Linked DNA regions of Mus musculus: regions 2, 3 and 4 are each reported to be linked to region 1. The links are microRNA targets in miRTarBase. Many come from high-throughput screens and were not tested one by one. Region 1 holds a microRNA gene; each other region holds the end of a gene's coding sequence.

Region 1 (7,163 bases):
GGAACAGAGCTAAGAGCAGCTCACTGGCATAGCCATGCTGTCTGCTGTACAGGGACCTCCACGCCTCAGCCCCTGCAGGAAAGCTCTTTGGAAGCCGACACTGAGTTTTTATCCTATGCTGCCTTTGAAACACTTGAATTTGAAGCAGAATGTAACCCTTGAGAAACTCCATAGAACAAGAAAGCGGGCAGAACTTGCAGAATGTAATTGGCTGCTTTTTTAATGTTGGCTCAGTGAGAATTCAAGCCTTTGTAGCATTGTTTTCAAAGCAGAAGAGCCAAGAGTCTGACATTTGGTGGCTGGGTTAGGCCAAAGTGACAGCATCTGCCCTGCCTGCACTGCTGGCCATGTGGTCTCTGTGGCCTGTTAGGTGATGGACTTTGTAAGCAAGCTCATGCCAGCTACCCTTTAGGATGCACTGGCCTGACAGACAAGGTTTTCCATGGTGACCATTTTGAGAGCTCTCTGCCTCTGCCCAGTGTATTCCTGACAATAGCCATCTTGGGATAGCTTGCTACTCGGGCACCGGAGTCGGTTGACAGAATCAATAGAATTCTGTATTTCTGTTGTTTTTTGAGACAAGGTGTCATTGTGTGACTCTGTGTGGCTTAGAACTTGCTATGTAGACCAGGCTGGCCTTGAATTCACAAAGATCGTCCTATTCTTCCTCCCAGTGCTGAGATTAAAGGCCTGTGCTACCATGTTCAGCTTCCATAGAGTGTTGATAAGGACAATGGAGACAGAGTAGAAGGTGCAAGCTTCAGTTGGTCACCTGCACGGCAGCAGGCTCTCTCTCTGTCCTTTGTGCTTTTAGACCAGCTTGTGTAAAGCAATACAAACAAGTCCCCATAAACATGTGCAGCCTCTTACCCCTTTCCCATTCTTCTCTGGCCTTCACGGTCTGCAGGCCATGGGCATATACCTGTATGGGGAGCTGATGGTGAGTGAGGACGCCAGGCTGCAGCAGCTAGCCCACAGGTGCTTTGAGCTGGTGAAGGAACACATGGACAGAGCATCGGCCCAGGTGGTGACTGAAATGCTGTTCTAAAGAGGTAATTCTCTTTTCTTTCTTCTAACCATCCATGTCAATTGGTAAGCCACATGATGAGCCACAGCACCAGAGGGCTGCCAAACGGTCTTGGGGAGGAAGCAGCAAGGTGGGTCCTCAGGAACAGGAAGAAGGCTCAGGATCTCTGGAGCACCTCACCTGCTGGAAGCATGGGTGTGAAGCAGGTACAGCTGAAGGAGCAACAGATCTGGCACTGCTTTAGCCACCCTGGATTTTGCACAGGTCCACAGGCTCCAGGGTCAAGGTCAACACAGCGGTCCATGGCCTCATTGCTCCAGGCTTCAGCATGCAGGCATCTCTCCTAGAGGCTGTGTAAACCTGAGACTCCTTGGCCTCTGGTTCTCTGACCTGTAGAGTAGGCAGCAGGTCTTCTCTGCCCCTCCATCCAAGTGACACTTGCGTCCTAAAGGCAAGTCTGTTTCCATCTCGTGCTGGAACAGGATTTACGCTGGCTCCCAGAGTCCTTGGCTGTGGTGTAACTTGCCTCCTCTGTAGCCAGCTTGTGGACCAGTAATGCAGTTCAGCCACAGGGCGTGGAGTTCTGAGACAGGTGTGGGCTAGTGCGTCTCTTTCATAGTCGCCAGTCATCATCTCTACATCATCCCAGGACATTATCGCTTGCCATGGTGGTACATATGATGTTTACTTTTGTATATGTTTGAAATTTTACATCAATCACTGTGTTACTCTGTTGTTCTCTATGATTACCAATTAATGAATATTTAGAATTGTGTTGCTAATCTTAACCCATTGTCAGACATTAAATTTACATTTTCACATTTCACTTTTATAAAACCCACTTCTGTGTAATGTTTATTTTTCTGAAGAACTACACTGATGAAGGGAAAACATGTTACTATGTATGACCATGTTGTTGCAGAAGAGCTGGGGACCGCCACAGTCAAGCAGGGGAGATAGTGGGCTGGAGTAAGCAGGTACAGCCTGCTAAGCCTGCACACTACAAGCTAGGACGGTGGCCTGTGTGGATAGACAGAGTCGGTCGGGGCGCCTCTTCACTGCCTCCTGCAGACATTTCTCTAGAAACTTGTAAGCTGAGGGATTGTTGGTATGTGGTGTGTGAAGGTCACACAGTAAAGCCACTGTTCCCTTTTTAGGTCCCTAGGCCTTCACTTAGGAAAGCCATAGTCACATAGTGGTCCTAGTGACTCTTCTAAGAGTATTTTTGCCCCCTGAGTGAGCAAATCCTCAACTTGCTAGGTCCCCTATGAGCTCTGTGCTATGCCTCAGCTTATCCAACCAAATGCTTGGTCACAGGCAAGCCAGAGAGATGCTCCCTCCCTACACACCACACCTGCTGTCTGAGGGGCCCAGAGACATCCCAACCCATTCAGTCTGCAATTGGAGAACAGGGTGTGTCCCAGGGTTAAAGGCCACATACTCAGAGCAAGGATGGTCCCTAAGGTATTGGTCTCATAGCTGATAAGTGTGTCCTTTGTCTCCCAGTCCCCTATGCTCCTCTATACAGTGCAGCCAGCGCGCTGAAGGACAGCAGGCTGCACTGCTAGCGTGGTGGGCTCAGAGGCGGTTTGGAGGACACTCAGCACATGTGGATGGGAGTGGTTGGGCATGGTGCTGCCCTCACCTGCTCTGGCTGCTTGGGTTCCTGGCATGCTGATTTGTGACTTGAGATTAAAATCACATTGCCAGGGATTACCACGCAACCATGACCTTGGCTGCTCCTGCAGAACCGTGGCTACTTTCTCTCTGCAGTTTGGAGAACAGAGGCGCCTTGTGGCTCTTTGGAAACAAAAGAAGCCAACAGCCTTCGAAGATGCTCACCAGCCCTTTAATTATGGCCGGCGATGACCTCTCTAACAAGGTGCAGAGCTTAGCTGATTGGTGAACAGTGATTGGTTTCCGCTTTGTTCACAGTGGCTAAGTTCTGCACCTGAAGAGAAGGTGAGATGGGGACAGTTAACTTGCAGCTGCCAGGCAGAGGCCACTGCCTGGTGGTCACTCCAGAGGAGGAGAGACCAGCCTGCCTCAAGGCTGTGTTGTCAAGAGTGCAAACAGCGTGCTGACCACCCTTAAGTGTGTCTACAGAAAATACAGTTCTACTGCTAATTAGTTCACTGTAATGTCAAGTGTATTGGGAGTCACAGAAAACTAAACCCAGGTGCATCAAGGAAACTGAGCCAACCTTGTCTCAGCTGATGCCACACGTGATGGGTGGGGGTGTGGTTCTTTGTCCCTGCTGGGCGTGGTGAACTCTTTCTTGTATTTGCAGTCCAGGTCTCCATGTCTCCACAGTCGCTGGCAAGATGATGCCCAGGGCACGCCAGGAGGCACTGCCCAGCTGTGATTGGACCCGCCCTCCGGTGCCTACTGAGCTGATATCAGTTCTCATTTCACACACTGGCTCAGTTCAGCAGGAACAGGAGTCGAGCCCTTGAGCAAAAAGCCTACCCATCTGTAAGTGCCTGAGGCAGGCCTCCCACGGAGAAGAAGATGAAGGGCCTGAGTGTCTGGTACCAGACCCAACAGCAGTGGTATCCCTCTGTATGTGCTCCCGAGGTGGGGATTTGTAGAGTGCAGAGCTAACCTTGGAAAGTTTGCATTCCCTAGAAGCAGGTAGGGCAGGCGCTGAGCATTTGCCACGTGTTGGGGCAGAGCACACCATGTCACCGCTGCCTTGAGCAGTGAGAATGCCTGTCTGAAGGGCCTTGTCTGTAGAGCCTTTCTGAACCTCTCTGGGCTTCACAGCCCTGCATGGCCTGTGCCGTGACTGTGCACCCCAGACCCAGGATTGTGAGGTGTGGCTTCAGTGTTGCCCCTGTCCTCCCATGAAAAGTTCCCTCTCAAGTGGAGGTCAGAGGCTGGGAGGACTCCTGTTGGAATGGCTGTGGTGACTGGGTAATAAATTTTATTGCTGTTTCCTCCACAGGACAGATCACAGTGAGATTCTCATATACCTTCTCCTAGCCCTGGTGGGGCCAGGACTGCACTGACCCTGGACATCAAAGGGAGGATTATGTGGCTGCTAAGGCCATCAGCCCACAGCAGTGGTTGGTCCATCTTGGGCTTCCAGAGACTGGGCTCCCGTGGCATATATAAAAGGCGGAGCCTCATAAACTGTTGCACCTGGCAGCTGCCTTTGTTCCCAGTCCTAGAGAGACTGAGTCTACACACTGGAATTGAGCTGTGACTTTAAGGCAGTCATTCAATGAAGGACACCCTCCCCTAGGCAGATGGAGAGCCGGTTGCCTGCTTCCTGTGATTGCAAAAACTAGCTGCCATGCTCTGAGACTGCAGAATCATGTGACACCTCCTGTGGCTGGTCCCCAAGGATTCTGCAAAGCCCTTTTGATGTGTTCAGTCAACAGAGCATTCCTGTTTTTGAAAATGCAGGAAAGCCTAAAATGTCTTAATAAAGTACCAGATTTGCTAGTGTTCCAGTTTGCTTCTGAATTTGATGCTCCTTAAAAGCAAAGAAGAACGTGTGTCAGAACAGGCACTTTCCACACACTTCCTACCTCCAGGTAATGTTAATTCTAAAAAGGTTGGAAGTAAAGGGAAATTAGTGTGGCTTGGGACTCTGCTCTCTTCCAAATGTGGAGTTTCAGCCAGCCTGGTACTAGCGGAGTCTCAGAACAAGCTCTAAGCTCTTTCAGTCACTGTCTAGAGAACGGTGCTTGAGACTGAGCCATCAGTGCAGTCACATGAGCCCAGCCAAGGCAGAGCGGTGGACAGAGGAACCAGAAGGAGCATCCCACTGGCTGGCCAGGCTTCTGCACCCAGACCTGCTGGGTGACAAAGGCTCTAGGACAGACTGAGAGGAGCGTCCGCACAGAACCATTGGTTTTCAGAGCCTGGGCTGTAGCAGTGACTGCATTTGGATGGTTGCAGGGGACTTGCAAATGGTTATCTGCTTTGTATACCACAATGGTACAAGTATCAAAGTGTGTTAATTCTACTTAATGTTACCCTGATTTCTGTGAAGACTTGAAATAAATGGCTGAGTCTATGCCTTCCTGCTCTCAGAAGCACTCTGGCCTTGCTTAGAGGTGGACTAAGAACCACACACCCTGTAAGGCCCCTCTGAGAACCTCAGTGGCCCATACCTCCTCTGAACTGGAGAGAGCAGCCAAGCACTGGTTTAGTCTGGTTTTGTTCTTTGTTCTTAGGAACCACTAAAGCAAAACAAAGCTGTCGCCTAAGGTGGGTTTTGTTCAGGGATCAAGTCCCTTGTCCCCATGGGTCACTGAGCCCTGTGCCTGGCTGTGTCTGGCTTGGGTTCTTGCCAATGGGTTTCAGGTAAGTGGAGATCTCACTGGAACCAGATGCCCATTTCACAGCTTTGGTGAAGGATCTGTGGTAGAGCTGTCCTTTGCCACCTCTGGCTGGGTGCAGAGCAAGCCTATCCTCCCCTCTCCTCTAGTCCCCCACCCCAACAAGTTAGGCAGCAGCTCCTGCCACCCATAGCTGCACCAGAGGCCCATGAGGCTGTGGAAGCAGGCTTCCCTCATCTGGCTGAGACCTCTGGAGTCAAGAAAGTGCAGTCTCCATTCTTCCGTGAGCCACCTGACTTCACAGGACACAGAACATTGCAAACGTTAACTTGTCAAATAGGATGCGAAGCAGGGTCTGAGGGCGGAAGAATGGATGTCTAGGGAGGCTTGACCTCCTCCTCTGAGCTGTCTCACCCAGGGAGGAGTTTGCTCTATAGCATATGGTTCAGGTGATGAGTGAACTGTTGGCGGAGGAAGGATGTGGATCATCACCCAGGCTCCTGCTCCAAACCACAAGTGGGCAGAGCAAGAAGCTGGATCCCTGGGTCAGTGTTTGCTGTAGACCACTCTGTAGTGCTTGGTCTTCAGAGCTTTGGTGTCCAAGCCTTAGGCAGGGGCTTGGAACCCCTCTAAGGAACTCTCCCTCCCACCACTCAGATGTGAGACTGAGCCTGTGTTGAAAGCCTGGAAGCCTGAACCTGAGTCTGCTCCTCTGTCCCTGGAGAGACTGAGACTGTCCTTGGTGGTCAGGCACACTTGTTGCCAGCACTATTTCCATGCCGTTTTCTAGCCTCACTTCATTCCTGGAGGAAGCTGAAGGGTGAGAGAAACCCAATGGGAGCAAAGTGCTCTACCACCAGGCCCATGCCTCCAGTAGGTAGAGGGGCCGGGACAGGAGGATCCGTGTGAGATAACTGCCAAGAGGTGAGTGGGATAGCAGAAACACCAGCCTCTTAACCCTGCCACTGAATACTGTCATCGTCATTGCTAAGCAGATGTCCATCACTTGAGAACAACAGGCCAGGGCTGGGCCAGCCTGTTCTCACTGATCCCACCAGAAATGGCCTCCTTCCAACCAAGACAGCCTAGAGTTACTCCATCTCTTCTCCAGAGGAGACACACCCCTCCGTGTTATCTGGGATGCTTCCGACAAGGATTAGAGCAGGCCTCAACCGGAGTGAGGCCAGGGCTACAGGAAGGGGGTGCATCTAGATCATCTGATGTTGACCCCTGGGCCATGGTTCCCTGCACAGGAGGAAACATCAGTGCCCCCACTGTGGGCTATCCTTCTGCATAGATCCTGAACCCACTGTTTTGTCCCTCTACATAGATCCTGAACCTGGCCTAGGAAGGGAGCCATCCACACTCGGATTTGTAGAAGAGAGTTGAACCCCAGGAAGGGGCAGAGGTTGGCTGGCTGGGAGCTCACCACCTTGTTTGTGAGCCTTTGGACAGAAGCCAAGGGAGAGGTACTGGGAATTCTGGCTGGACCCAGGCAGGAAGAAGGGAAGGGTGGGGTTGAGAAAGTCCCAGAAAGGACTCTGGGCGCTCTGACTCAGCTATTCCAATAGTACTGGAGGATTTTAAAGCATTTATGTATTTATTTATTCAAACGAATTTCACATCAAAAGAATGAAATAATTGATACTATAGCAAGGTATTCTTGCTTGTGGTGAGCAGAAATGTCATAGAATGTCCCCAGGGTAGAAACCAGAAATGGCAGATATCCCAAAGTAAGCAGTCCTTACCAAACGCAGAGGGTTTTTCAGGGTCCACTCCAGGCCAGTGCCAAGTTCCTACCAGGTTTTTCTCCTGACCGTGGCTTAGCAGGACATGGCTACACA
Region 2 (7,000 bases), not on the chromosome of region 1:
CTCAAAGGGACACGCCAGCAGGCTGAGTCTGGGGTTGCTGCTCCCAGACAAAGCTGACAGAATTGAGCCTGGCCAGTGTGAAGGGAAGAATGGCAGGGCACTGCCTCCTTAGCCCTACCGGGCAACCTAGGGCACTCTATATATACACTTTGCTACTGTGTATGAGTAGCAAAAAGTTATGGTTCCTCTTCTCCTGGACTAACCTTTCTTTTTTTTTCTTTTTTCTCTTATTTGGTTTTTCGAGAAAGGGTTTCTTTGTATAGTCTTGGCTGTCCTGGAACTCACTCTGTAGACCAGGCTGGCCTCGAACTCAGAAATCCACCTGCCTCTGCCTCCCGAGTGCTGGGATTAAAGCCGTGTGCCACCATGCCCGGCTTCTTTTTTTCTTTTTAGTGGTTGGCCTGACCATTAGTTACCATCTTAATGAACAGTATATAGAGAGGAGGGGGGAAAGACTTTGCAGCCAAAGCAGAGGACAGAATTCTTATTCAGAGCAAGAGTAAATCCGTGCACAATGAAGTGGGAACAGCAGGAAGGGCTGCTGGGATGCCCAGTGTTGTGTCAGAATCCGAGAGGAGCAGTCTCGAGACCCTCATCAATGTCTACAGGGAGTAGAGTATACGTGGAACAAAATTTCAACACAGCCAAGGGACTAAAGGACGCCTTTAATCCCAGCACTCTCGAGGCAGAGGCAGGTGGATCTCTGAGTGTAAGGCCAGCCTGGTCTACAGAGTGAGTTCCTGGACAGCCAGAGAAACCCTGTCTTGAAAAACAAAACAACAACAACAAAAAAAGACAAGGAAAAGAAAAGAAGAAAGAAAAGGGAAGGGAAGGGAGAGAAGAGGAGAGGAGAGGGGAGGGGAGGGGAGGGGAGGGGAGGGGAGGGGAGGGGAGGGGAGGGGAGGGGAGGGGAGGGGAGGGGAGGGGAGGGGAGGGGAGACGAAATGAGAAAGCAAGCAGAGCTGGGCAAGCCAGGAAGCAGTTCGCCTCCACAGCCTCTGCATCAGCTCCTGCCTCCAGGTTCCTGCCCTGCTTGAGTTCCTACCCTAACTTTTTTACCTCCTGAACAATGACCTTGAAATGTGCTTTTGGTCAGGGTGCTCCATCACAGCACAGCAACCTTCTGAGACAGCTGACACATATGTCAGAGCACTGCATGGACGGCTGATACTTGTGGAGGCCAGAACCGGGTGTGGTGGTGCACGCCTTTAATCTCAGCACTCGGGAGGCAGAGGCAGGCGGATTTCTGAATTTGAGGCCAGCCTGCTCGACAAAGTGAGTTCCAGGACAGCCAGGGCTATACAAAGAAACCCTGTCTCAAAAAAACCAAAAAAAAAAAAAAAAGAAGCTGTCATGTAGGTGCTGGTAACCAAACTCAGATCCTTTGAAAGAGCAGCAAGTGCTCTTAACCACTGAGCTAGTGTTCCAATCATCATCCTCATCTTCTTCTTCCTTCCCTTCCTCTTACTCTTCTTCCTTCTCCTTCTTCTTCATTTATTATTATATCTAAGTACACTGTAGTTGTCTTCAGATACCTCAGAAGAGGGCATCAGATCTCATTACGGACAGTTGTGAGCCACCATGTAGTTACTGGGATTTGAACTCAGGACCTTCAGAAGAGCAGTCAGTGCTCTTAACCACTGAGCTACCTCTCCAGTCCCAAGAACCAACTTCTACAAAGGTGTCTTTTGATCTCCGCATGTGTCTACACACAAACCCACAATAAGCAAGTGTCGGAGAAAACAGAAGCTGGAGAGATGGCTCAGCAGGTAAAGAGTATTTACTGGTCTTAGAGAGGACCGCAGGGCAGCATCCCATGACTACTGGTCAGTGACCTGAGTTTCCCTTGCTGTGAAATGAGTGGGCTTTGATTTTGTATGCATGTGCAAGTATTCCAGGATGGCCTTGAACTTGCACCAATCTTCCTGTCCTAGCGTCCCAAGTGCCAGGATTGCAGGTGTGTGCCACTACACCTGCCTTAATAGAGTGGCCCTGGCTTTAACAGTCTATGAAGTGGCCTGGCTCTCGCTATGCATGTAGACCAGGCTTTCCTGCTGCCTCTGCCTTCTGAGTGCTGAGATTTAAGGCACCACTGCGTCCTTGGTGAATTCTTACATTAGATTCTCAAGGTCCCCTGAGGTCTCATGAGCACACCTGGACCCTGCCCAAGGGAACTGACTTGTTGTCCTTGGAACTTCTAATGGTGACCTTGATGATGGTGGGAACAAAGATTCAAACATCAAGTTTCAGAGCATCAGGGCTTCACAGAAAGATTATGGAAAAGAACAAAGAGACAGTCAAGTGTAGCACTGAACATCCACCAGGATGGCTGGTATTTAACTCAGTTGGTTAAATACCATTCTGGGTGGTTTTGGTAAGGGTGTTTTTGAGATGGAATTAAATTTAAATGAGGCGAATTGGAGGACAGCAGACTCTGTGCTGTGAGTAGCCTCATCTAATCAGCTTACGGTATTAATATGAAAAAAATATAAAGGCTTGGTGGCGCACACCTTTAATCCCAGCACTCGGGAGGCAGAGGCAGACGGATTTCTGAATTCAAGGACAGCCTGGTCTACAGAGTGAGTTCCAGGACAGCCAGAGCTATACAAAGAAACACTGTCTCGAAAAACCAAAAAAAAAAAAAAAAAAAAAAAAAAAAAGAAAAGAAAAACCTGACCTCCCCTGGAGCAAGAAGGAATTTGTCAAGAGTGAACCTCAGAAATGGGACTACAGCTCTCTCTGGGTGTCTCTGTCATCTACCCTAAGACTTCTCAGACCTCAGTAATCCTGACAGCAAATCCTTTAAGATAAAACAGCTCTGCTTGGCAAGAGAGCAAAAACCTGTAATCTCAGCCTTTGAGAGGTGGAGGCAGGAGGATTTAAGAGTTCTAGGCCACCGGGCATGGTGGCGCATGCCTTTGATCCCAGCACTCGGGAGGCAGAGGCAGGCGGATTTCTGAGTTCGAGGCCAGCCTGGTCTACAGAGTGAGTTCCAGGACAGCCAGGGCTATACAGAGAAACCCTGTCTCGAAAAACCAAAAAAAAAAAAAAAGTTCTAGACTGTCTCAAAATGGCCCAAAATGAAAGAAAACAACTCAAACACACACACACACACACACACACACACACACACACACACACGCATGCACACACGCACACATAGTGACATGTATGTACACCCTGCTGGTTCTGTTCTCTAGAGAACCCTGATGAATACTGGCAGTAACCAAAGTAACAAATAACATTATAATGCATGAACACATTAAACTGCTTTACAGCCAGAAAGGGATGGAGAATCTTTATGCACTGAATGGGGAAAAAAACAAAACCCTTCAATGTAAATAAAAAGTCTGGGTGTTTTTTGTTGTTGTTTTGTTTGTTTTTGAGACAGGGTGTCTCTGCATAGCCCTGGCTGTCTTGAGACTCACTATGTAGACCAGGTTGGCCTCAAACTCAGATACATCTGCCTGCCTCTACCTCACAAGTGCTGAGATTAAAGACGTGCACCACCAAGGTAGGCTTAGTGAAAATATTTGTAATATGCAATTACAATTAAACAAACAAACAAACCCATAAAAAATGGTGGTGAAGATCTTTAATCTTCAAATTTCAGAGCATCCAGGGTGTTACAAAAAGACCTTGTATCAAACCAGCAGGAAACTGGTCCGATCAATCACTGGGGGAAGCAAAGGCTGAGGCGGCTCTTGCTTTTGATAAAGAGAGATCTCCATGTGAACTGGAAAAAACAAGGTGCAGGTTGGTGTTTATACACGCTGCTGTCTGTGTGAGATAGTACACACAGAAGATATGCACATAGATTCAAATGCAAGAAATAGCTCCAGAATACAGAATGAACTAGCAGATCTCCTCCAGTGAATAGCTAGAAAAAGGTGGGAAGGGGGGCTGGTGAGATGGTTCAGCAGGTAGGAGCACTGACTGCTCTTCCAAAGGTTCTGAGTTCAAATCCCAGCAACTACATGGTGGCTCACAACCATCCATAATGAGATCTGACGCCCTCTTCTGTGTGTCTGAAAACAGCTACAGTGTACTTATGTATAATAATAAATAAATCTTTAAAAAAAAAAAAGGTGGGAAGGGGTCCTCACGTCTACTCAGACCTATCCTGCTGCGGACGGCTGGATGGAAGGAAGAGTGCACATCCTGAAGGTTGTCTTGAATCCACAAGGCCCTAAACATGACTCAGCCAACTCCACATAAATAAATGTGAGAACAACAAAACTTTTATGGGCTGGGAACACAGCTGTGTTTTGCTTAACATGCAGGAAAGCCCTGTATTTGGTCCCTTGTAAAGAGTAGGCGTGGAGTCCATGCCTGTAATCCCAGCACTCATTTGTTGGAGGGCAAGGTAGGATTGTCATGAGTTTGAGGACAGCCCTGGGTATACAGTGAGCACCAAGCCATCCAGAAATGCCTTAACTACATTCTTTTTCAAACAACAAGTTACCATTCTCTTTTTGGTGAAAGCCCCTAGTTCTCTTATGAGATTAGCTATGGTCCAAAGAGAGAATTTTAACGGAATATTTAAGCAATCAGGCTAGAGATTTATTATCTTTAATTATGAGCATTTGCGCAGGTATCCATGGAGGCCAGAGGCATTAAATTCCCTGAAGCTGGACTTACAGAGGGTTGTAAGCTATTATAGGTGTACCATGAAAACCAAATCTAAAATTAAGATATTTATATTAATTTGATGTCTTTACTTAGTAGGCATGCTTGGGTGTGCACGGGTGTGTACAGGTTAGACTACACCTGTGGGGATCAGTGGTCTCCTTCCACCAAGTGGATCCTGGGAGTTGAACTCGGGCATCGGGGTAGGTGTATTTACCTGCTAAGTCATCTCACTGGCCCTGGTTTTATTCTTTTGAGACAAGGGGCCACATAACCCACGCCAGGTTTTATGCATGTTAGGCAAACACTTTCCCAACTGAGCTATGCCACACCCTGTGGCCTTTTATGAGCCACCATGTGGTTGCTGGGATTTGAACTCGGGACCTTCAGAAGAGCAGTCGGGTGCTCTTACCCACTGAGCCATCTCACCAGCCCCCCTGTGGCCTTTTAAAGAAGATTTATTTCATTTGCATTATTGAATGAATGTGTGTCAGAGTGTATATGTGTATGTGTATACTCATGGCATGTGTATGCCTGCTCTTGGATAAGAAGATGTGAGGTTGGAGTTACAGGCTGTTGTGAGCTTCCAGAAGTGGATGCTGTGAACAGAGCAACCAGGGACTCCCCAAAGAGCAGGAAGCACTCTTAACCACAGAGCCGTCAGTCTCGCCCCCATGGCTGGCTTGGTTTGAGACAGGCTCTCACTTTGCTGCTCTGGCTAACCTCTAGCTTATGGTGATCTTCCCGTCTCTGTCTCCGCAGGGCCAAGGTTGTAGGTATATGCCGCTACACCCAGGTCGGCTGACTCTTAAACCATGGAGAAAGACATTTTGTGGATTCAGAGCTTTTCTTTAGAAACTGTTTTTCTTTTTAATTTACCACTTAACCAAAAGGTGGTTGGTTTTCTGGAACCAAACAATGTAAGATGGCCTCGAAAGGCCTGCCTCCTTATAACACAAAAGCCAAAGAGACAAACACAGAAATCGTCTGGCCTCAGTTCTTTCCAGAGAAGACTAAGCACAGGCTTTTACACAGACGACTCGGCAGACAGTGGCTGGCAATGCCCTTCCCCCTCCAAACAGTGTGACACGTGTGACACCACTCCTGACACACTGTCCACACCACCCGCCCTTCCTCAGCCACAAGCACGTACCCAACCATCTGAATGAAGGAACTGAGCCGTTTGTGAACTGTTGGATGGGAGGTGACAAGACTGCCTCCCAGAGAAAGGACACAGTCCCAGATGCAGTAGCTCTCGGAGCATCTAGGTGTAAAGTCACCCAGGAGCCGGAGGTGGTGGCTCCCAGTGGGGCTTGCAGAAGAATCAGGCAGCACTCCTCAAGCGCTGAGACTCTTGGTTTTAGAAGCTCTTTGTCCGCGGCCTCTCAAGGCAGCTGGGAGCCTGGAGTAGGCTGACACTAGGGAAGAGGCAGGGGCAAGGGAACGGGAACAGGGTCAGCTGAGGCACTCCATGCTCGCTCGGACTCTCTCCATCTCGTGCAGGAAGCTGTAGAACTGGGGCAAGGTTAGTTCTGGGGAGAGAAAAGTCAGTTTGAGGTGAGTGTTTCCAATGCCACAGAAGTACCAGGAAAATCCATTTCTACCCGCAGCCATCGTTTGTTTATTCATTTGATAGGGAGCAGATCTAGGGCCTTAAGTATCCAGGGCTCCATCTCCAGGCTGACATCTATACTCGCTGGTAATCTTAGCAGCCTTTTCTTCCTTCTTGTGGTGCTGGGAAGCAAACCCAGGCCTATAGCAAGGGCTGCATTGAGCTACATGCAGCTAAGAGGCTCCTGATGTATATATAACCTATCAGAATAAGGAACCTACAGCCTTGACTTCAAGGGTCTCAGTTCCAAAAACACTGAAGTGTGTATATAACAGTGTCACACAGAGGCATGGAAGGTTTCAAAGGAATTCAGGGATGTCCACAAGAGTTTCTTGCCTCCAAGGGCTGGAGAGATGGCTCAGCGGTTAAGAACACTGACTGTTCTTCCAGAGGTTCCCAGCAACCACATAGCACGCACAACCATCTGTAATGGGATCAGATATCCTCTTCTGGTGTGACTGAAGACTGCTACAACAGTGTACTCATATACATAAAATAAATCCTAGCAATCACATGGTGGCTCACAACCATCTGTAATGGGATGTGATGCCCTTGTCTGGTGTGTGAAACAGCTACAATGTGCTCACATACATAAAATAAATAAATACATCTTAAAAACCAGTGTCTTGCCTCCAATCTGCTCCCACTATTCACCCCTTAGCCCCTTCCACTCGGGCTTTCCAACCTCCCAATAGCCTAGCAACAGCCCTGCTCTGAGAGGGAAGGCAGTGGAGGCCACTCTAGAGCCTGGTGATAACC
Region 3 (7,163 bases), not on the chromosome of region 1:
CATTCTGCATGTACATGCACATGTCAATGTACACACACACACACACACACACACACACACACACACACACACGCACAGATCTCTGCAAGAACAGAGAGTGTACAAATGTCGTAGTGTTCTTGAGAATGCTCTGAGACTACAAAGTTTCTTCTAGCAGTATAGTCAGTGTTACTCAAATAATTTAAATTATCAACAGATCATCAACAGTTAATAATATAACTATGTTTCATAGATCAGCAGTATAATTACATAATCATCAAAAGGAATTGTAACAATAGTACCTAACAATATTGCACATCAAGGGTTATATTCAAGTTTCAAAAGATCCCAAAAGCAGAGAATTATTTTCTTTTCTTCCTAGGGAGGAAAGGGTGCTTGAGAAGGAAGAGGTTAATTTTCCCCCAAGATTTTCTTTTTATTAAGCAAAACAGCTGGCATTACAACCCAAGCCTCTTACTCCTAAGTAGCATGCTAAAATGCTGCTGATGGTGCTGGTGATATCTGTGAAAACAGCTTGATCTCTTTCTATTTCAGATCCAGGCTTTTACAGAAATTATATTGAGCCTTACTTGGAACAAGCCAGTCGTATCTGGCCATGGCTTCTTGGGGCAGCACTGGTGGGAGCTGTTATTGCTGCAGCTCTCTCTGGGCTTAGCAGTAGGCTATGCCTTCAGAAGAAGAAGAAGAAGAAGCAACCCCAGGAGGAAAGGCAGCCACTCCTCATGGACAAAGACGACTACCACAGCTTGCTGTATCAGAGCCATCTGTGAACATCCTAGGAAACAGAGTGGGACTGAAAGGTTTTACCTCACTCGACCTATTTGTTGGTGTTTCTACAAATTTAAACTAGTATAAAACATAGACCATAGCTGTTTGGCTTTTTTTCAGACCCATGTTTTTTCCTAAGTCCTAGTTTCTAAGAAATGACTGGGATTTGCTAAAATATATATATATATATAAATAATAACTTACTAATAGCTAAATAAAATTTCCTCTTACAACTAATTGAGCTGGTTTTTATGAATGTGTCTTAATTATTTAAACTTGAGGCACATTTTTGTTTTCCTTACTTCATTGTGAATTTCCAAGAAAAATATTCTCTCTCTCTCTCTCTCTCGTGTGTTTGTGTGTATGTGTGTGTTAACTGATTCAAACAATTTTGAAAATCTTGGATTGATAGAAATGATTCATTAATTTATGAAATTATTTCATTAATGATTAGGAAAGACGAATAATTACTAAATTAGTAACAGAGGAGAACATCTGCCAGCTTTTATTAATTGTCATTTAAGTTACCTTATCTACCTTCTGTGACTGGTGGAAAAATATCAGGCAAGAGATGGGAATGCTCTGCCTAATAGGATAGTGGCTCCTGGAAGGAGTGGGTTATTACTAGAGATTATTACCTGAAGTTTACCATAGCCAGAAAATTAATCAAAACAGATGACTCAGTAACATCTGAAGCTTCAAGTCGGCTTGACTGCAATCTGAAATCATCAAGCCCAAGAGCCAAAGGAATGGGAACAGCGATGGGAAACTATCTGAATCAGATTCTAGTGTGATAGTGTCAGGGGCACATGGGTCATCTTTGAGACCTTCACACCTGTTGAGTCACCAAAATTTGCTGTGAATGTAAATTTTTACTGTAAATTAATTTTTTCTTTTCTTTTTAAAAAGATTTATTTATTATTATACATAAGTACACTGTAGCTGTCTTCAGACACACCAGAAGAGGGTGTCAGATCTCATTACAGATGGTTGTGAGCCACCATGTGGTTGCTGGGATTTGAACTCAGGACCTCTGGAAGAACAGTCAGTGCTCTTACCCGCTGAGCCATCTCGCCAGCCCAGTAAATTTTTACTTTAGTGAAAGTAAAATTTAAGTTTTAGTTTTTAGTTTAGTAAAATTTTAGGAAGCAAATTTTTAGTTTTCTAAACTAATTTTTTTTTCTAGTACTGGACATCAACCCAGTGCCTTGTATATGCAATGCAAGCATTTTCTTGTACTCTGCTACCTAGCATGTATATATAAATCTACCCAACAAATGTTCATTACAGCTGACAAGGGTCTTTATAAACTCAGTGTTTCCCTTTATCACAATACAATTCCCTCCTTTGCCACTTCATGTCATCATAGAATATTGTTTTTTTCTCTAGCGGTTCAAGGTATGTATTTGTATAGCAGTCACACCTTTGATAAAAGTTACCATCTCTTTGATTATATATTCTCATTATGGTAACAAAATTATATTATGACTATTTCAATATATCTGAAAGTTTCATTAAATTCTCATTAACTTTGTATATTTCAGTCTTGCTTATTGTGAAGCTTTTATAAATTGCTTCACTTTTTTCTGAAATTGTCCTGTTGCTACATCATTCTGTTAAGAAATAAATAAGTGGCAATATTTTCCCCCTTTCTTCTTCCTCTAGGCTTTTAAAATTAATTTTAGTATTCATATATTTTTATCAAATCAAACATGCAATTCTCTATCTGTAGAGATTAACCTGTGATCGATACAAGTCATTTTAACTAGTGTCCTTATGAGGCTGACAGCAAGCATAAATCATTGATGTTCAGCATTTATATAAGCTTTCATTTATGAGTAGAGTTTGTCAGTTTATACAATAGAATATAAATTATAAACAAGCTATTAATACCACAAAAGCCTTAACATTATTTAGCTGTTGCAAACTACATATGAACAACTTTAGTAATTTTCATGTTCTATTTAAGTTTTATATGCTTCAAATTTATTATTTGGGGCCTCTTATTGTTTTTTTATATGGCAGCATTCTAGGATGGAGTGTGAAGAGATTTCTTAGCCTCAATCCCCATCTGATGCCCTATGGGCAGTGATGGCTTCTGTTTGAGGGACACTCAGTTTTCTATTCGAGTCCTGGTAGAGTTATCATGTTCTGGTAGAAGGATTCAAGCCCAGTAGTATAGGTACACCATGCCTTATAATGACTGAGCTATTACATTTAAAAAAGAATAAAAGCATGAAGCTGAGGAGGCAGTGAGGTGGGGGTGGATCTGCGGAGAGTCACATGGAGAAGTGGAGGGCAGATTTACATTATATCAAATTTTCAAAAAATAATAAAATATTTATAAAATGTAATTGAACGAACAATATGTGGGTTGGAATCAAAACTCATGTAGAACTTTCTTCAGTCACTAGATCTGATTGATTGTGAATTGATTATTAGCCATTTAAACTAGTAGACTCGAGACTTACCTTAATTATTTAGTTGCCAAATTTGGGATCACAATTGAATATGTCTCCTCAAAAAATATCTTAAAAATTCATAGTAATCACTTTCACTTTCCTTTTGCCTATTTTAAAATATATGCATTCTCTTTAATTAAACAGCTCTGCATCCTGTTTGTCCCATAGGTAAATAAAATGTTGAGTGTGAATATTTAGTGAAATATAGTTCTTAATAAATTTGCTTTACTAAAATTATTTTTACTTTCTTAGTCTTTTTTTTTTTTAGAAAATTAAAAGTAAATGTATAGAAGTAAAAAGTTTGTTTTCTAAATCAGTGTTCTATATGTTGCATAAACTGGTTCCTACTGCTGGATTTTGTTGGCTTTCCAGTCTCAGAGCAGTGTCTGGATTACAGGTAGATATTGCTGTACTAGGATGAAAGTAGACTGTTTTAATGAGAGATACTTTCAATTTCACAGGAAAGGTGATTTCTATTATGTTAGGCCAATAATCCTAACTTTAATGGCATTTCATAATGGGTGCTGAGTTAACTGTCTGATGCTGAAATTATACTAAAAATAATGTGGTGATCATGGAACCTCAAAATAAAACAAAATAAACTAAAAATTTATCACCTTTTAAAAATCTAGTATTATCTTTTCATTAACTAGAAAACAAATGTTGAAATGTTTAAAAAGAAATATTTAGCAATATACACAATAATTGATTAATTTCAGTTTAATTTTTAAAATATTTTATTCTTTCTTAATGACAACTACTGTATGATCTGGCTCATAAGTAGTAGCGGTAGCAGCTTTTGCAGAGCATATACCCCCTAAAATCTGTGTCAATATACTATTTGAGTTCCCTGAACATCTGTTTATTACAGTGCTACTCACAACAACTAGGTTGTGGAGACACCCCAGATGTCTATCCACAGACAAATGGATAGAGAAACCATGGCATGTATACATGGTGGAGGTTTGTTCAGCCATAAAGAAGAATTAAATTATGTCATTTGCAAGAAAACTAATGTATTTATAATTCATGATGATGAATGCAATAGGTCACACTAAAAATCACGTTTTTCTATATTATATATACATATAAGTGTATACATGCACATTTTCAGGAGGAACTATTTGTTTTTTTTTTAACGCATTCTAGAATGTAGCAGGAAAGACAATATTGTGGGTAGTTTGGGGTTGCATCAGTATAAGCAAAGAAAAAGTTATACAAGTATGAAAATTTTATAATGAGTACATTATAAAATTTGTAATGTGTACAATAAATATATACCAATATGCTGTATAATAAATATATACCAATGATTAAAGAAAAAATCCAAGTAGTTATGTATTTTACTTATAAAGACAAAATGAAATCAGCATTAACTTATTTCACAGATATTTCCTAGAATTTGGGGGTATAAAGATGATTAAGACACATAAACCATATGCTACATTGAAAAATGCAAGTGGGGTAATAGGAAAGTAGATAACTACTTATAAAATTATGATGGAAATAATCATTCTAGAGTAATATTCTAAAACACAATTTAAAAAGTAAGGTCATAAAATAGAAAAATAATTACCCATCTCAATTCTAAGACATAATTTTTTAGATTAGATTAATCTCTTCTTTAACAATTATAATAGAACCTTTTCATCATTTATATACTGGATGCATGTCTAAGCACTACTCTATATAATTTCTGCTTGTCATATGAACACTGAGTATGGTTATATTACTTTATTTTAATGATGAAGAAGCTTGAATAACAAAGATATTTTAAGAAGTCAAAAACCCTATTAAATTGTATGTATCACAATTTTTAATTTATGCCTCCATGACTTTAATTCTTATTTCTAATGCAAAGCCATATTGTTTCCATGACTTTTACACATATCTTTGATTACTTTACTATAATTATCACCATTACTAATAACACTGGGAATTTGTTTTATATGACAAAAATCTGTCATGTTTGCACATATATCATCATTCCTTGGATAGTGGAAGTTATTGAGCTGAGGTTATGCTCAGTGGATAAGAACACTTGCTGTGCAAGCAAAAAGGCCCTAATTCAGACTCCAACATCTATATAAAAAATATGGCCATGGTAATGCGCTCACCTATAACCTCAGTTCTGTGCAGGAAGTGTGACAGAGACAAAAATAAAATCACTCGATTTTCTGTCTACCTGCCTAGCTCCAGCTTCAGTGAGAAGCTCTGTCTCCAGTGAATAGGTAGAAATTGGTAAAGAAGGACACTGGGGATTCTTCCTTTATATATATATATATATGTATGTATATATATATGTATGTGTATATATACATATATATATATGTATATATATACATGTACACGTACACATACAGAGACAGACAGAAATAAAGACAGCAGAAATAGAGACAGAGATGGAGAAAATCAAAGTGCAGATGCAAATAGTTTAATTGTACAAATTTTTGAAGTTCAAATTAGTGGAAACAGATCTTTACACTAGCTAGTATGATTTTAAATTCACAGTTTGTCTCAGCATGTAAAAATAACTACATTGTACAGTAAGTCCTGGAATTCTATAGTTCCATAGGGACACAAAGTCAAGAAAAATAATACAGATAGAAAGAGATAATTAAAAATAGAAAGACATCATCCTGCTTCATCTTGACAGTAGTATGAAAGTTCCTAGATAAGCACCCACAGTGAAATAATACCTATTATGTCAACTGTTCTAAAAGTGTTCTTGGTGGGATGATTCTTATGTGTAGCAGTGAATAATCTACCTTGATCTCCCTTCTGGGAGTGGGGTCAGAACGTGTGATCACACTTCTTGTCACCTGCCAGAATTTTCTGGATTTGCGAATGAAAGACAGAGAGACAGAGAGAGACAGAGAGACAGACAGGCAGGCAGACAGACAGACAGACACACACACAATTAGAACACACACACACCATACACCACAACACACACACACACACATACACAGACTCGGGTCAGCTTAATTTTAATATGCCTTGACTAGTTCAGTGGCCAGGCATTTGCAAACCTCCCTTCAGCTAGCATACACTTCCATCCGTACTCTTCAGTGAACACTTTCTAAATCTATATTTTATCTTTGTTACCCTAGACCGAAGATGGTGAGTGGCCTCTGGGGTCATTTCCCTGTCTTAATGATGAACTCTCTGCTTCCCTGTCATCATGGGGTATGGGGTGGTCAGTACTAAGCCCCCTCATAGTGGAATTCCTTTGTCTTCTCCTTGCTCAGAAATCCCAAAAGTCCTGCCTCTTTCACTCTGACCAGCTATTGGGTTTGGCTCTTTATTGACTGTGGGGAGCGGGTGTGGCGGCAGTCCCAAAGGCGCCAGGGACTGCAGCTAAGTCATATGACTTGCACCTGACTTCCTCATATAAGACACAAACATCTCGAGTGCTGCGCAGGTGTACCAGGATACAGGTGAATCCAATTTGGTGGAGATTTGCCCCTGCTGCCCTGATTAGCTGAAGCCTCGTGACTGGCGAGGGGGCGTGGCCTGCGGTGCATGGATGAGAGAGAGTATAAAAGGAGTGAGAGGCCCAGGGTTCGGGGGAGATATAAACAAGAAGAATCAGGACTGAATAAACTGCTGTTAGAAGGACTGGTGGTCGCGTCGTTCTTGCTGGTCGAGAGCGGGCGCGACAATTGACTAATCAATAACCAACTGGGGACAGGGACCCTCAGTATCTGAACACAGAATCTCATGTGATTTTGGGACATGCATTAAATTCTAAGACAAAGCTTTAGAACCAATCACTAACATTTCTGCATTGGTCACGAGGAGTCATCACAGTGTAATATAAAATAGATGACAGAATGCATTTTGTTTATCTTGCCTATAGCCAGTACTCTGAGGTAAGGGAAATATTGGGAGAAAGATGGAGTGTGACTGGAGGACTTGGTAAGACAACTG
Region 4 (7,163 bases), not on the chromosome of region 1:
CTCAGTACAGGATAGGGATGTATGAGAAAATAAAATTTGCCTGAGTCTGCTGCTCCACAGTCTCTAGCCGTGTAAGACAGACCAGGAAAATCTCCCCATCTCTATAAAAGACAAATTATTTCCCACGTTTCACATGGCAGGAGGAAGGATTCTCTCATTCAGTGGAGATCTTAGAGTTTGCACCTACTCTCAGGCAAATAGTAATTACTCTGTTTTCAATGTCTCACAAATGTCTATTTGCAGATGTCATGTGTCAAATGTCATATGTGGGTGCTGTGAATAGAGGAACCTTGTGCCTAAGCCTGACAGCTGGTATGGGACCTGCATGCTAGTTCACTTGGCTATGCCTTCTATCCTGACATTCAATATTCCTCTTAGCAAAAGCTAACTCCAGGGCTAAGAGGTAACTGATCACCCGACTTTGATACAGGGCCAGTCAGCACAGCAGGCTTAACCACAGATGCCCATTCAAACACTAGTCACAAGTGTCACCTTGTGGATCCAAAACATCCAGGGCAAGAAAACACTATCTGTAGAAGAGATCTCTCCAAGTCACCTTCCAGAAATGACAGCGACTAGGTCTTCAGCTCTACTCCCACGACAAACCTGGAAGTCAAAGTAGACACTGAGAGATAGGAATTACTACGTATGTTCTTCCTTTTGGACTCAGAGTAATATTAGCCATAATGCTTCCTATAGGGTTAGCCACTGTCTTAGTCAGGGTTTCTATTCCTGCACAAACATCATGACCAAGAAGCAAGTTGGGGAGGAAAGGGTTTATTCAGCTTACACTTTCATACTGCTGTTCATCACCAAAGAAAGTCAGGACTGGAACTCAAGCAGGTCAGGAAGCAGGAGCTGATGCAGAGGCCATGGAGGGATGTTCTTTACTGGCTTGCTTACCCTGGCTTGCTCAGCCTGCTCTCTTATAGAACCCAAGACTACCAGCCCAGAGATAGTCCCACCCACAAGGGGTCTTTCCCCCTTGATCACTAATTGAGAAAATGCCTTACAGTTGGATCTCATGGAGGCATTTCCTCAACTTTCTCTGTGATAACTCTAGCCTGTGTCAAGTTGACACAAAACTAGCCAGTACAGACACGATCCTTACCTAGGACTGGACTCTGACAAATGAAATTTGTTTTTACTAGTTCTACTGCTTCTAAAAATGATGTTTATAATAGAAAATTGTCTGATGTCTTTGGTTAGCCATACCAGACTATGGCTCCAAATAACTGTTGGTCCTTATGATATACTTTCCTAAAACTCAATTCCATGGCTAGTTTGATTGGAATCATGGGCCTACCCAGTCCTCTTGTCCCTTTTACAGACTGTTTAATTAACTGGTTATTAAACTCTTTCAAACGAACAGCCTTCGTACCTGAGGACCCAATGCTACCCCTTTTATAATGGGTCAATGTGTTGCCTTTCCCTCAGACCACAGTCTACACTCAGCTCTTCCCATTGGCTGAGCCCATCCTGCTGAGAAGATTCTTATGTAGCCACAGCGACAGCTTTGGAAGGCCCATTGCTTTACAACATACAAGGAAAGGGTTTAATCGACTGAAATGAAAACTCTTGTTCTTGCCCCGTGCCACTCTGGTGTGATGTGATTGTGAACCTTGACTTTGTAAACCCTACCCTGCTTCACTTCAGAGTAAGTGTACTTTATGGCAGGAGCCTGCTCTGTCACAGGCTTTAGTAAAGCACTCTGAAGTGGCCTTATATTCATGGTGGTCTGTAATCTACTCATGTGGTTATTTCAAGGGTACACAAAGGAAAGTCCCAGCTGTCCTGTGAAGAGAGGGAAATCCAAGTGAGAGCTGGAATTCCACTCAGTGGCAGAGCGCTTACTGGATGTTAGGGTTGGAATATGGACTATCTCCATGAGGCTCCAGTGGGTGGGTCTTAAGGGTTATAGCCCAGAAATGATTGCAGCCAAGGCTTCCCTCTACTTCTTGATCAGCCCAGATGTGAGCAAGCTGACACACACTTCCTCATCACAAGAGACTCTTCATCCTTTAAATTGCTTCTTGTCAAGCATTTGGTCAGTGTGCAATGAATTGGTATATCTACCAAACACAAGGCCAGGTCTGGAATGGGTCCCTAGAACTGGAAAATGTTGTTTATTCTGACATCCAACAATTTCTGTGACATTGTGGGATGTTGTCTTTGGAGTAAGACAGTTAGTACCATTGTAATCATAGCTGCTGATTACTTGCAAGACCCTGAGCAAAGCAGTTTCCTTATAGGAGGTGTGTGGGGGAGGCCACTAGACCTCATTTGAGATAGGAGCTACTTGTTCCCTCCTGCACGCCCTGAGCCCAGATGTAAGTGATTCTGCTCCAGAGGGGCGTGTTGTGAGAGGCACTAGAATATGTAGGAGGAAAGGTAACTGAAGGGTGGGGCTCCATTTACGCAGCTTTGGAGGTTGTCCCAGTGCTGCAAGGATGCAGCTTTTCTATGATGCAGCTGTCCTAAAGTTATCCAAATTCTTGTAAGTAGCCTTCACCCAAACTGCTGGAAATTAGTTCAGTGAAATCACCACATCAGCAAACTATGTGGGTAGAATGGTTCTCTGTCTGGGATGAGTAGACATTTATCTGTGTTGCCCCAGGAAAAGTTAATACAAAAGGTGCTAAAACTTGGCTTGTATACCATACCCAGGCCATTTTCTTTTACTTACATATATGATGTTTCTAACATATTATACTAAATGAATATTTGAATTCTCAAAGATAGGTCAAACTAAATGATATGTAACACACTATGAATAATTATGAATATTTATTAAGCACCAAAAGTACACAGCAATGGTTGCTACATAAAAAGCACAATTATTGATATAATTTCTTGCCATTAAGCTTACAATCTAAAATAAAATACAAGGATATTGTCAGCCTACATCAAAGTTTCCCTAACTTGAAATTGGCTAATTTGGCAAATGGATGAGGCAAAATGACCTATTTCAGGCAAAGTGTTATAATAAGGCTTTGAACATGACACAAAAAATCTTTTTTGTGTATCCATTTTCCATGTTATATTAGGATAAGGACAAAAAGGGCACTTAGAAATTTCATAAGCACAATGAATTATTTCAGATTGTTCTCAGAAATTCAAACAGATGTTCACTGACAAATGCCAGCAGCCAGTGAAACCCCACAACTAATAGGAAGTAGATGAAGTCTCTGTCTTGGCCCCATTTAGACCTCCATCTTCCACACTAAGGGCTCTAATGATTTACCCCACAGTGAAAAGCACCATCTCTAGATGAATTACCACATAATTATGAGATCAAACTTACTGGAATATTCCTGTCTGAAGAGAAGTGAGCAAAGACAGCAGTGGGGACTCTGGCTTAAGCGATGTCACGTAAGCAAAGGCAGTCAGGCAAGGCCACACACCTCGAAAGGGATGGGGAAAGCACGGGAATGAGTGCTTTTCTGCTCCATACTTCCAGTGAGGTATGTAAGTTACATCAAGACGCTAGACTACAAGTTCTATCTGCCTAAACGCATGTACAATAGTTCATAAATACTTCTAAGGTAGCCACTGCTAGTCATTCTTAGCTGACAAAGGCACACGGAAGAAATTTTGGTTCTTATTGTCAAAAGCAAAGACAAATTTAAAATGCTTAACAAACACAAATCATGTATATTTTTAGTCACATATAATTCTCTTAATATGAAAAGGATATTAGGAAATAAAATGATTGGTTACAAGTTAGTTATCTGGAAACAGAAATGTATTCCATAATGTGCATAATCAAGTATTTTAAAAATTCATGATTATAAACTTTTAATGGCAGAGTAACAGCATCCTGAGATATCCTTTTTGTGTGTACACATCCATATTTCTGAATGTGTGCATGTGTGTGTGTGGATGTGGAGGCTAGGGATCAGTCTAGGCGGCCCTTCCTCAGGAGGCATCCACCTTGCTTTTTGGAATACAGGATTTCCCCCTTGGATCTGGGGCTCACTAGTTAGGCTGAGTTTGGCTACCTCGTAAAATCCAGGGATCTGCTCCCTCCAAGTTTAAACTCAGGTCCTAAGGCTGGTGTGAGTCCATTACTGACTGAACGTTTTCCTAGGCCCCAGAGATATTCTTTACGGCAAAACAATACACTAGTGTTTTTGTTTGTGGGGATGTTTTGGGGGATAGTATCTCACACTGTAACCTAGGATTTGTCTCCAACTCCTGGTAATCTTTCTGCCTCAGCCTCCCAAATGCTGAGACTACAATGTGAGTCATTATATTCAGCAGTATTTGCAAAATATATCTTGGCAACTGAAAAAGAAGGTAACATGTTAGCAGCAGAAAAATTTAAAAAATGTTCATACTCTTGCATATTGAGTTCATACAAACAGAATGGCCCAGACATTTCAGGATAAACAGTTTTATAAAGTAGAACTCCCCAATTTTTCCTTAGAGTTGATACTCTTACCACCCTCTTTCAGTCTAAAGGTATCATTTATACTGCTTTACTGCTTTATAGTAAACAAAACCCAGTTATGACATTTGAAATAAAAAAGCCTTCATTAAAATGTTTTAGTATATCAGCATAGTTCTAATAAGAGGACAGGAATTAACTTTCACTGGCTTCCTGAGAAAAGAATTTTTAAAGTATGTATCAGTGGTGAATGATTCTAAATTTATGAATCTCAATCAAAATACTCATTTTGATATTATAAGAAATATCTAGAATTCCTGATATAGGATGCAGTTTTCTAAGGCAAGGCAAGTTAGATTATGTATGAAGTATAGATATTAGCACAAAGATAATACGAGATACAGTCATTCTTTCTGAAACAAGGTTTTAATATGCAGCCCTGGGTGGCCTAGGACTCACAGAGATCTGCCTGCAGAGAGCTGGGATTGAAGCCTAGTGCCACCACACCTGGCTCACGCTCACTTTTGAAAGCCATACATTCGAAGCTGCATTATAGTGCATTTCATGTCCCATTTGAATACTATGCATTTTATGTGTAATATAGTTTTAAAATGCTTCATTTCCCCAACATCACAATGTATGCAATATTTTCCAGATAACTGGCAAATTTTTGTTTTGTTTTGCTTAAAAATGTAAAAGATGCATTAGTAGTTACAAGTATGTTAAGTAATTTTATGAAGGAAAAATTTATAAGGAGAACAAAATAGAAAACTAAGCTTAGTGATTTAATAAAAAAAGAAATCAGTCATCCTGAAATGTTTTTGCTTCTTAGTAATATGCATGTTCCTTTTACAATGCTAACTGGATAAGCACATGACAACATAGGAACTGTTTGGGCACTTATCTTCCCATACAGTTCCCAGTATATGAATGGGAAATGATTTTCTTATGCGATCAGGGAAGCAAAGCTTATGTGAGTCCCGTGAAAGCTGACTCTTTATAACAGTGGTTGTCTATTATGTTTATTAACTGTGTGTTGGCGCATATGCACCATGGCCATCTGTGGAGGTTAGAGAACAACTTGTGGGAGTAAGTTCTTGCTCCACATGACCCATGTGGACACTGTCTCAGATACTCTCTTAAGGATTCAACTTAGTACTAGGCTGGCAGCAAGTGCTTTGGTTGGTCCATAGAGCAGGGTGTTTAACTCTGAAGTTAAATTTATATTTTGGATGGCTTAATTAAAACTACCCTTTAACCTTTTTTTTTTGTTTGTTTTTGTTTTTGGTTATATACTTTTAATGCCTACAGACTAATATGGCTAAAGAAATGAAAGTCCTGATTTCATCTGTGTTTTACATAGAAATAAACATTTTCTTTCGTTTTTAAATGAGAAAAGGGAAATGAAGAAAACCATTCTAATGCTCTGACATAGTTTTAAGCAAGGGTAGATCAGGTTAAGTAACATTGATTAGAAGAGAGAGAAAAAAGACACCAAAAGTTATTTCCTTCCTAAGGTCTCAGATAGTTTCTTAAGTCTTTTCTTCAGCTCCAAAGGAAATTTCTCGTAGCACTTCTTACAGACTGGCTTCATGTCAAATTCCACAAATTTATTCCTAAAGGGAATTATATATAAAAAAGAAATTAGTGGAAATATATTCAGCACACACATGCACAATATATACACAAACATGATAAAGTGACATAAATTCATGAAAAGACATAAATGAAGACGCAATGTAACATAGTATATAAAATCTCTATGTACATGTCAGTAAAGAACTGTAATTCTAATGTCAATTCTTATTATGATAAATGTCAAGAGTGACTGGTATCAGTTGAAAATATGCTTATACAATGGTTCTGTACCCCTACATTTAGAATATGTGATGTTTTAAGCACTGGGCCTTCTCTTCATCCCAAATAAAGTCAATCAAACTTTAAAGCATCAGGCAGCGCTTTCCTCTTCTCAGTGCCTTTTACCCCCTAGTTTGTTGAGACAGTTTCACTCTAGAGCCTAGTTGGCTAGAACTCATGGGGATTTTCCTTTCCCAGTCTACCCAGTGCTCGGATTGTAAGTGTGAACCACCATGCTTGTCACCAACAAACTTATTCCAATATATTTATTTAAAGCAAAGAAAAACTGGGGGGTTTTTTTGTTTGTTTGTTTTGTTTTGGGGGGAGAAGGGTTTCTCTGTATAGATCTGGCTGTTCTGAACTCGCTTTGTAGACCAGGCTGCCTCAAACTAACAGAGATACTCTTGCCTCTGCCTCCTGAGTGCTGTGATTAAAACCACCACACCCCACAAAGAAATGGTTTTTATAATGTGAGTGATGTAATTTTTGAAGGTAAAAGGATCTTATCATGTATTTAGTATTTTTAATTAGGCAACTATAAGGTTTCATCTTTCCCTGTAGAAATGATTTTCCTTTTGTCTCCTAATTTAAAAAAATTACCTGAAATTATTTTTTAAAAAAAGAGCTTAAATCATAGTAGGTTATTTTTAGCTATTGGGACAAAAAGCTGGTTATCATTCTTGAACACTAAGGTAATGGGACAGCCCTTAAGTGTTCCTTAAGTGGTAGTTCAATAGAGAACATGATTCCATTCTTAAAGCTAGAAGAACACATAGTATCAATTCACTTATAAACAGTTCTGGAGAAAACAGCTCTTAGGTGGTCTCCACCTGTAATGTACTCAGAAAAGCTAATTGCAGGAGCTTAGTACTGCTGAATTCCAAGCTCTGTACGTTATTTATAACCTGTTCATTTG

Evidence for each region. The annotated mature microRNA mmu-miR-24-3p reads UGGCUCAGUUCAGCAGGAACAG and lies in region 1 at 3,447-3,468, shown strand. An mRNA with a match to its seed (bases 2 to 7 or 8) in the 3' UTR can be bound and repressed. Matches are read on the target gene's strand: a 7mer-m8 pairs with bases 2 to 8, a 7mer-A1 pairs with bases 2 to 7 and ends in A, and an 8mer does both.
Region 2: miRTarBase lists Commd7 as a target of mmu-miR-24-3p. Seed matches in the 3' UTR shown: 7mer-A1 at 3,982-3,988.
Region 3: the mRNA of Tyr is a reported target of mmu-miR-24-3p. Seed matches in the 3' UTR shown: 7mer-A1 at 1,762-1,768 and 8mer at 1,830-1,837.
Region 4: the mRNA of Lims1 is a reported target of mmu-miR-24-3p. Seed matches in the 3' UTR shown: 7mer-A1 at 4,899-4,905.

What each region holds. Positions count from the first base shown.
Region 1 is chr13:63,297,805-63,304,967 of GRCm38, forward strand. Mir24-1 (microRNA 24-1) reads left to right here and starts at 3,404; the gene lies at 3,404-3,471. Aopep (aminopeptidase O) reads left to right here. Exons shown (of 16, transcript NM_001289926.1): 16 at 908-5,073. The coding sequence ends at 1,048. It overlaps Mir23b (microRNA 23b), which reads left to right and starts at 2,680; the gene lies at 2,680-2,753. It overlaps Mir27b (microRNA 27b), which reads left to right and starts at 2,908; the gene lies at 2,908-2,980. It also overlaps Mir3074-1 and a transcript of Fancc not described here.
Region 2 is chr2:153,613,352-153,620,351 of GRCm38, forward strand. It overlaps Commd7 (COMM domain containing 7), which reads right to left. Exons shown (of 9, transcript NM_133850.2): 9 at 3,579-6,161. The coding sequence ends at 6,085. Among named protein-coding and RNA genes, the nearest start is that of Commd7, 16 kb to the right of the region's middle.
Region 3 is chr7:87,422,656-87,429,818 of GRCm38, reverse strand. It overlaps Tyr (tyrosinase), which reads left to right. Exons shown (of 5, transcript NM_011661.5): 5 at 535-5,048. The coding sequence ends at 770. Among named protein-coding and RNA genes, the nearest start is that of Tyr, 67 kb to the left of the region's middle.
Region 4 is chr10:58,420,297-58,427,459 of GRCm38, reverse strand. Lims1 (LIM and senescent cell antigen-like domains 1) reads right to left here. Exons shown (of 11, transcript NM_001193303.1): 11 at 2,769-6,006. The coding sequence ends at 6,005. Among named protein-coding and RNA genes, the nearest start is that of Ranbp2, 23 kb to the left of the region's middle.